Callithrix jacchus: one gene and its partner. The protein of the gene in region 2 interacts with the protein of the main gene of each other region in a pairwise test. Links are inferred from orthologs where the notes say so. Each region holds a gene or a part of one and is shown on either strand. Other genes may lie near its edges.

The links.
Region 1: the proteins of FEZ2 (region 2) and SCOC interact in binary tests that used the Homo sapiens proteins (3 or more experiments, as listed by UniProt). The link is inferred for Callithrix jacchus from reciprocal best matches to the Homo sapiens genes FEZ2 and SCOC.

The regions. Positions count from the first base shown.
Region 1 is NC_133504.1:56,574,541-56,578,855, reverse strand, and holds the start of SCOC (short coiled-coil protein), read left to right. Parts: upstream 1-1,504; 5' UTR 1,505-1,510; coding exon 1,511-1,769; exon of another isoform or gene 1,770-1,828; intron 1,829-4,315. UniProt on the Homo sapiens protein: Positive regulator of amino acid starvation-induced autophagy.
Region 2 is NC_133515.1:78,448,307-78,452,125, reverse strand, and holds part of FEZ2 (fasciculation and elongation protein zeta-2), read right to left. Parts: intron 3,552-3,819; coding exon 3,476-3,551; intron 398-3,475; coding exon 332-397; intron 1-331. UniProt on the Homo sapiens protein: Involved in axonal outgrowth and fasciculation.

The DNA of each region.
Region 1 (4,315 bases), on a different chromosome or scaffold from region 2:
AATACTATTCAACCTTAAACAGGAAGTTCTGCAACATGCTATAACATGGATGAACCCCGAGGACATTATGCTAAATGAAATAAGCCAGTCACAAAAGGGCAAATTCTGTATCATTCCACTTATGTGAAGCACCTAGAGTAGTCAAACTGATAAACAGAAAGTAAGATGATTACTGCCAGGAGTGAGGGGAGTAGGAAATGGAGGGTTGTTGTTTAATAGAGACAGAGTTTTAGTTTGGCAAGATGAAAAGAGAGATTGGTTCTGGAGACTGGTTGAACAACAGTGTGGAATGTATCTGATACTACTGATGTTAAAAATGGTTAAGATGGGAAATTTTATTCTATGTATATTTCACTACAATTAAAACTATTTAAAAATACTGTTCTAGCAAAAACAAAGTTTTTTAAAATAGTTTCTCTTGATCTTTGGTATCCTGCAATGTCACCATTGCATAGATTTCTTTGTATTAATTCTGCTCAAGAATAAGTACTTTTTGAACCTGAAAATTCAAATACTCCACAATCTTGGAAAATTCTTAATGATTATTCTTTGAATACTGACTGCGTCCATTCTCTCTAGTCTCTTTTTTTGGCATTTCTATTAGATTTATGTTGAATTTTTTTCATTTATTTAGCTCCTACATTGCATTCTAGTAAATTTCCTCAAATTGAATATTGTAGTCCCAGCCAAATGTAGTTCTCAAAACACTGAATGGAAGATCTTTTTATAGAGCTCTTAAAATGATTAAGGCAATGTGTCAGCAAACGGTGCCAGAAGTAAAAAGTCAAGAAACAGGGAGACATAAGGCTTGTCTCTACAGCTCAGGAGACTGTGCCAAAGCCAAAATAACAATGTATTGCTGTGATGCCTACCTTGTACTCAATGAATATTAAAGTAGGATGCCGCTTTGTGTCAAGTGCTAGATTACGATGAGTGGTGTCACAAAGATCACTCTACACTCAGAGTTTGGCACTTCATACCATATGTTTTACCTTGAGCAAGACATGTATCTACAATCAGGCTTCAGTTCCTTTCTGTGGGTTGCTGCTGGCTCCAACAGGTAAGGTGAGCAGACGTGCTATGCCTAAGTATCAATAGGGTATTTTCTCAATTCTAAAATATTAAATGGTCACGCACTACAGATTTAATAATAGTTTGGGAGGAGGGGAGTGAGGAAAGAAACATTCCACTAGCGCTACTTTATAAGCTTTCCGATTTTGGAAATAAGAAAAATATGAAAAAGTCTGCTCTTAGAATTGAGGAACCACGGTGTCGCACTGACTTTCTCTGTTCGGTTCGCAAACAATCTTTTCTTGAACTTGAATGACTTCTCGGTCGCTCATGCCAACCTGTTTCCTGACTTCTCCATTCTGAGATTCACACTTCAATTCTCAGGCTTCCTGTGAGACCTAAGGAGCCCCTTCACTAGGGCGGCTTCGCTTCGCTTCTGTACTGTCATTGGCTGTTGCTCTTCCAGGGCCCCTCCCACAGCCACCTCAATCCTGATTGGATGTCAGTGTCCTTTTGTTATGGCGAAGGTGGATCCCGGAGCTTTGAGATTGGACTACTGGGGGGGCGGTGGCGGCTAATGCGCAGGCGTATATTTTCGAGTCAGGATTGGCGGGTGAGGGGCCGGGATGAGGCGGGACTCTTCTCTCGGCGCACGTTCTGTGACCGGAGTGGGCGGAGCTGCCGGTGTCAGTTGGTCCAAGTGTCCCCGCCCGAGGTGTCGGCTGCATCCCTCTCTCTCCCGGCCCCTCCAGCAGAAGGTGAGGACTGTCCTGGGCAGCGGAGGGCCTGGCCCCAGGCGACTAGAACTGCGGCCTCGGTACCGCTGAGGGCCTGGAGGGCGGGGTGGGTAGGACGCGGCCCTGCGCACCTGGGGCCCACGAGGAGCGGTCTCGGGCCTGGGCATTTGGTGGGCGGCGGAGGCCTGGCTTCCTGCAGAACCCTTGCGCATCCTCTTTTTCTCCTGTTTTCGTGGTCAGGCCCAGGCGTTCTTTAGGAGAGGGGCCTCCCGCTGTCCCTGACGCAGACATTCTGCTGCTTTCTCCCCGCAGCTCCCGCGTCGGGAGCCGCTTTGCAGCCTCCAGCTCTGGAATGGGACTGCGGGAGGGGCGTTTGGGTGGGATGGGACCTGGCACGCCTGGACGTAGCAGTGGCTGCTCTGCTAGAGCCTGAGAGATGGGAGAGGACAACGAGGTGGAGAGGGAGCCTCGTGAGTCATAGAATAAGGATTTGAACATCTTTCCAGGCTGCGAGAGCGGCACCTGGGTTTGTTTCTTCATCGACTTCTGCCCAGAGTCCCACTGAACAAGTTTTGGAAAGGTTTGGGCTTAAAGGCAGGGCTTCTGTTATATAATGTATCAACCTCAGACTATTGCGCAGCAATAAGGATGGATGCCATTCCAGGTGTTCCTAGCACGCTGTCTGTACCCAAGGACCCAAAGCTATGTCCATGTATTCTGGTACCTGTATCCCTCACCGATTAAAGTCAGCGTAGCTAGCTATTCCCTGAGAATATCTATTCCGTTTAAATCTTCATTTGGCCAAACAATTCCTTGATCTTTTGGAATTTGAAACGGAATTTAACCAGAACAAGTCAAAGCAGAACTTGAACGGATCTGAACAGACAAACTGAAGGGAATGGAATTTATCTTCAGTTGCTTAGTAAAGAGTCCAAAGGAGTTTGACATCAGTGGTTGCAAAATGTTTGGCAAACTTAAGATTAGGGCCATATTGAAGTTTCTTCCATTGCAGAATGGAAAAAGCATGGATTGTGAAGTTAGACCTGGGTTCAAATTCGTGGTAGAGACGTTGGCTGTGAAACCTCTGAAATGATAGCCTTTCTGAATGATACTTAGCCTTTCTGAAATTTAGTGTCCGTATCTGTAAATTGCAATTTCCTTCTGTTTATTTGATGAAGTAACATATGCAAAGCTTTTAGCACATTAAAGCACGAAGACATTATTTTAGCAGTCTTACTAGTTCTCTGGTATGACAGATGGTGAAATCAATTTTAGATGCAGAAAAGTTGAGTGGCTGAAGGTGGACGGATATTAGGAAAAAGTCTCAAAATCTCAAGTCTCTGATGTGACAGTAGCTGTGGTGGAATGGTGTAAAAACCCTTGGGCATTTGTCGTAGTCTTGGCCCTATTGCTAACTACTTCTGTGGTCTTCAGTAAGCCGTTGGCATCTTTGGCCGTGATTTATTTGTAAAATGAAGCAGCTGGACCAGATGGTTTTCTTAAAATTCTTTTTGTGACCCAAATTAGAGCTAAAAGGTAGAGAAGATAATAGTAGGGGCCGGGCGCGGTGGCTCACGCCTGTAATCCCAGCACTTTGGGAGGTCGAGATGGGTGGATCACGAGGTCAAGTGATCGAGACCATCCTGGTCAACATGGTGAAACCCCGTCTCTACTAAAAATACAAAAAATTAGCTGGGCATGGTGGCGCGCGCCTGTAATCCCAGCTACTCGGGAGGCTGAGGCAGGAGAATTGCCTGAACCCAGGAGGCGGAGGTTGCGGTGAGCCGAGATCCCGCCATTGTACTCCAGCCTGGGTGACAAGAGCGAAACTCCGTCTCAAAAAAAAAAAAAAAAAAAAAAAAGAAGATAATAGTAGGCATTTATTGCATACCTATTATGTACTGTTGCAAACACATTGTATCTATCAACTCAGTCTCACAACAAACCCGTAAGACATGTACGGTTATTATCCACATTTTACAAATGAGGAAACTAAGGCCAAGGTGTTAACCTTGCCTAAGGTTCCAGAGCTTATAAATTGCAGAGCTAGGATTTGAATCCAGGTACTGAGTCCATGTTGTTAATCATTGTGCCAAGCTGCCTCTTGAGGAGAATGGTATTGTGGATATTGTATACTATTAGAGGTACTATAAAAGAAGATGGGGCATGTTTTGTAAGATAATTGCTTTGGTTACAAATGTGTGTATGGCAAAATTATTTAATTAAGTGGATCTTGTCCTAATGCTTGCCACATTTCCTTGTTTGTATTCTCTCAATACTGTCTGTCTCTTGGACTTAGCAAAAAAATAATTCTAGATTCCCTTCTACTAACCAAGGCTAGATACCCAAATTTACTGTGGTTTTTGCGAAACCTTTAAAAGGTCTGACCTAGACATAAATCAGAGCTGAAGAATCTCAGTGAACCATATCTGTTTCTGGGCTAAGGTGGTTTAGGATAGGCAGAGCAGCCTCAGAACCCCAAATTCATTTCAGTGTTCCCACACTTGAGCAGACTTGGTCTGAATTTTCTCGTTTTTCATCAGATTTGCATTTATATGTAGGAGCAG
Region 2 (3,819 bases):
TTCTCAAATTTCCGTGTCAACCTGCCAGCATCTGATATCCACATGATGATGGCAACATCTCACTAATTTTCTTCTACTGCCTCCCTCAATGTTTATAGTTTAGCTGTGGAGATTATTTCCAGCCCAGAACCTCCAACAAAAGTTAAATTTTTTAAAACCATAATATATCATGTTGGTAGAAGTTAGTCATGTATCTAATCCTCATCCTGCATAATAAGATTAATGAAAGTTGTGCATTGGGAAGTTACTATCTAATCTATTAGCAAGACAATGCATTTATTGACTAATCCAAACTTCCCAGCCATCACACCTATACCATTGTAAAATTCACCTTTCAGAATATAATCAGTTAACAAGCTCGGAACCTTTTCACTGTCCTCCTTCATGGCACGAAGAACTGCAAAACAGAAGGGGGGGAAAAAAGACAACAAAAAATTCAGATCAAAAATATTATTTAATTTCAATCATTGTGGCCTTAATCTTCCTTAATTATAGGATATAACTGACTTATACTAATTATAGGTGATTTTCCTGATAAGGGAATACAACAGTAAAGTCCCAACCATTTATTTTAGTGGAATATGTTCACAAGAATTTATTTTAGGTAAGAATATCTACTTACCTGAGAGTTATTTCCCTGATTTAAAATTTCCAAACAGTGGAGGCAAAAAAAGAGGAATCAGGTTATTTACATGGAGCCTTCGCTCTGTAATAATACTGGAAAGTGGGTTACTGTAATGTGCACCTCAATGAACTCCGTGCAACAAGAGGACCTCATTGCTATAAAACAAGCAAGCTAGAGAAACTCTTAGAGAAATGAACAGTTAGCTATATGCTCCAACAGGCATATCTGTCAAACTCCTTGGAAACTTTCAAAGAAAAGACCCAAATGAAGAACAGACTTCCATGAAGCAGCACGTGGCATCTGCCTGGCTATCTCCTCCTCTGCAGTATGGAGGAACCTGGGTGAATTAGCCTTATCCTAAACGGACACTTTTATCTTCTAAGTAAAAACTAAAAGAGAAAAAACAGCCACCTAGTATAATGTTTTTCTTTTTTAAGCTAGACCATTCAGGTTGAGATAAACTCACAAATATTGTACTTTAACAAAGATTGTCAACTCAAAATTTTTTTTTTTTTTTTTTTTTTTTTGAGATGGAGTTTGACTCTTGTCACCCAGGCTGGAATGCAATGGCATGATCTCAGCTTACCACAACCTCCTGCTCCTGGGTTCAAGTGATTCTCCTGTCCCAGCCTCCTGAGTAGCTGGGATTATAGGCATGAGCCACCACCCCCAGATAATTTTGTATTTTTAGTAGAGATGGGGGTTTCCTCCATGTTGGTCAGGTTGGTCTCGAACTCCCGACCTCAGGTGATCCACCCACCTCGGCCTCCCAAAGTGCTGGGATTACAGGTGTGAGCCATTGCACCCAGCCAGCCAACTCAAATTTTCTCCAGAGCATCCTGGTAGAAATATTTCACTGTTTCTCCCCACCCATATGACAAGGCAATATAACATAACTGTCAAGTCAGCCTTCCTAAGTTTAAAACCTGGCTCTGCCTCTTCCTCACTGTGTGACACTGAAAAAGCTGCTTAACCACTTTTGCATAAGCTCTTCATCTGTGAAATGAGAATAATAATTGCATTTAATCTCAAAGGTTTGTTCTGAGGACTAAGCTACTAATTCAGATATAAAGGTCTGGCACATGTATTATAGTGCCTGGCCAGAGTACATGCTATGTAAGTGTTAACTGTAACTAACACTACTAATATTGTTAAAAATTTTATTACTATTATTATTGCACCCAGAATCCCTAACAGCTTTTAAGAGGAAGACTATATATCCATAAACAATGTGACTGTCTCCACAAGGCTCTTCTTTTGGAAAGAAAAGGAGCTTTGGACCCAAATATGTCCAAAGATTCCAAATTGTGTCAACCTACAAAGACAACTTGATGTTGGAATTATGATGGCATTAGTTTGACCAACAAAGTATTTGTTCTTGATCTGAGAAGCTGAGGCTTGCCAGTAATTCCTGGCTTATGAGCAATATTTATTTATGTTCCCTTCTTTAAAGGGCTACCATGTTCAGTATTTCTGCTTCCAATCATGTTTAAAATTTTTTCTAACTTCTATATAAAAACCACATACTAAAAACCAGCATCATTAAAAGTATAGTTTCCTGGGAATTAGGAGACCCAGCTCTGTAATTACCCATCCCCTGTGGGATCTTGGACGCACATAACTTCATGAGTTCTTCCTGAAAATAAGAGGGCTGGCTACCCAGTTAATCTCTTGATTCTTTATTTCAGACTGGCTGGCATTACTTGATTTATCCATATTTAAATATAAAACTTTTTAACGTATTATTCACCAAAGGAAAGAATAAAAGCTCCAAGTTCCTTGGATTTCCAAAATAAATATCATCAACACTCATCCATGTGATGCTTTTTCAAAAGATCAGCAATTCAATCCCTCCATATTAACAGCAATGACAATGAGGCTAATTGATAGTAACTTAGCCCAAATCATGTACATATTAATCTACTTAGTGTGAGGTAAATAGAACAAATACTTTTTATCCTAGTTTTTCAATGTGAGCAAAAGAGAATAAATAACTTCCAAGGACATCCCTGAAAATAACAGGGATAGAACGAAAATTCAGAATTCAGGGCTCATTTACGGCTATCATAAGAGAAATTCAATATAACGTATATTTAAATCTCACAATTGTTTTTTTACTGCAAGCCCCTTGTAGGTGGATTGTCTGTCAGCTTTGTTCACTAAAGTATCCCAAGTTCCCAGATCATGGCCTGGTAAAAAGTAGGCCTTTACCTAATATTTGCTGGGACTACAGACACCTGCCACCATGCCCAGCTGATTTTTGTATTTTTAGTAGAGATGGGGTTTCACTATGTTGGCCAGGCTGGTCTCCAACCCGACCTCTCGATCTGCCCACCTCAGCCTCCCAAAGTGCTGGGAATTACAGGCCTGAGCCACGGCGCCCTGTTGCATGTTCTGAAAACATTACTGTCAATTTGTATTCTACCTACAACTACTACCTCAGGTTCTACATTCATAAGAAATAAGTGTTTACCCTAAATCTTTCCTATTCAGTTATTGACAGTCATATAAGATCCATAGAGAATTACATTTATGATAAATGGATATGTTCTCAAGCATATAAGAGAGGATGAGGATTCAGATAATGCTTTTTCCCAAAATTTTAGCTCATAAATATTTCATAAGGTAAGAAAAACAGAAAAAATACAAATCAACACTAGAGGTACTGTTGTACCTCCAGTAGTAGTAGTAGCCATTTTTGGCTTCATTCTTACAGAAATCAACAATGATATGCATCATTTACAATCCTAAATTGACAAAAAACTAACAACAAAACCAGCCAGCTAAAGTCAGGTGTTTACCAATCAGCAAAAGTAAATCAGGTAATAGTTTCATTTTGTCTTTGCTCACTTTTTGTTAATATTTGAAGATCTTCAACAGATGGCGGTCCATTTTTTTTCTCATAAGGAATGACTGTAGTCAAATACTGCCAAGTTAAAAAAACAAAACAATATGTCACTTAAACCTGCATTTCCTTATCTGCAAAACATTTGATACTGTTACGAGAAGGTCTATTTCATAATATAAAACACGAGCTACTTTGGTAATGAAAACACAGGTAATGTATGAGAATAAAGGTATCTTACTATCTCAGATGGAGCTCATTTTTTTTTTTTTGGCCCATCTCTATTTGCTTGATACAAACCTACTGTCAACAGAAATAACCATTTTTTTGCATTTCAATTATTGAAAAT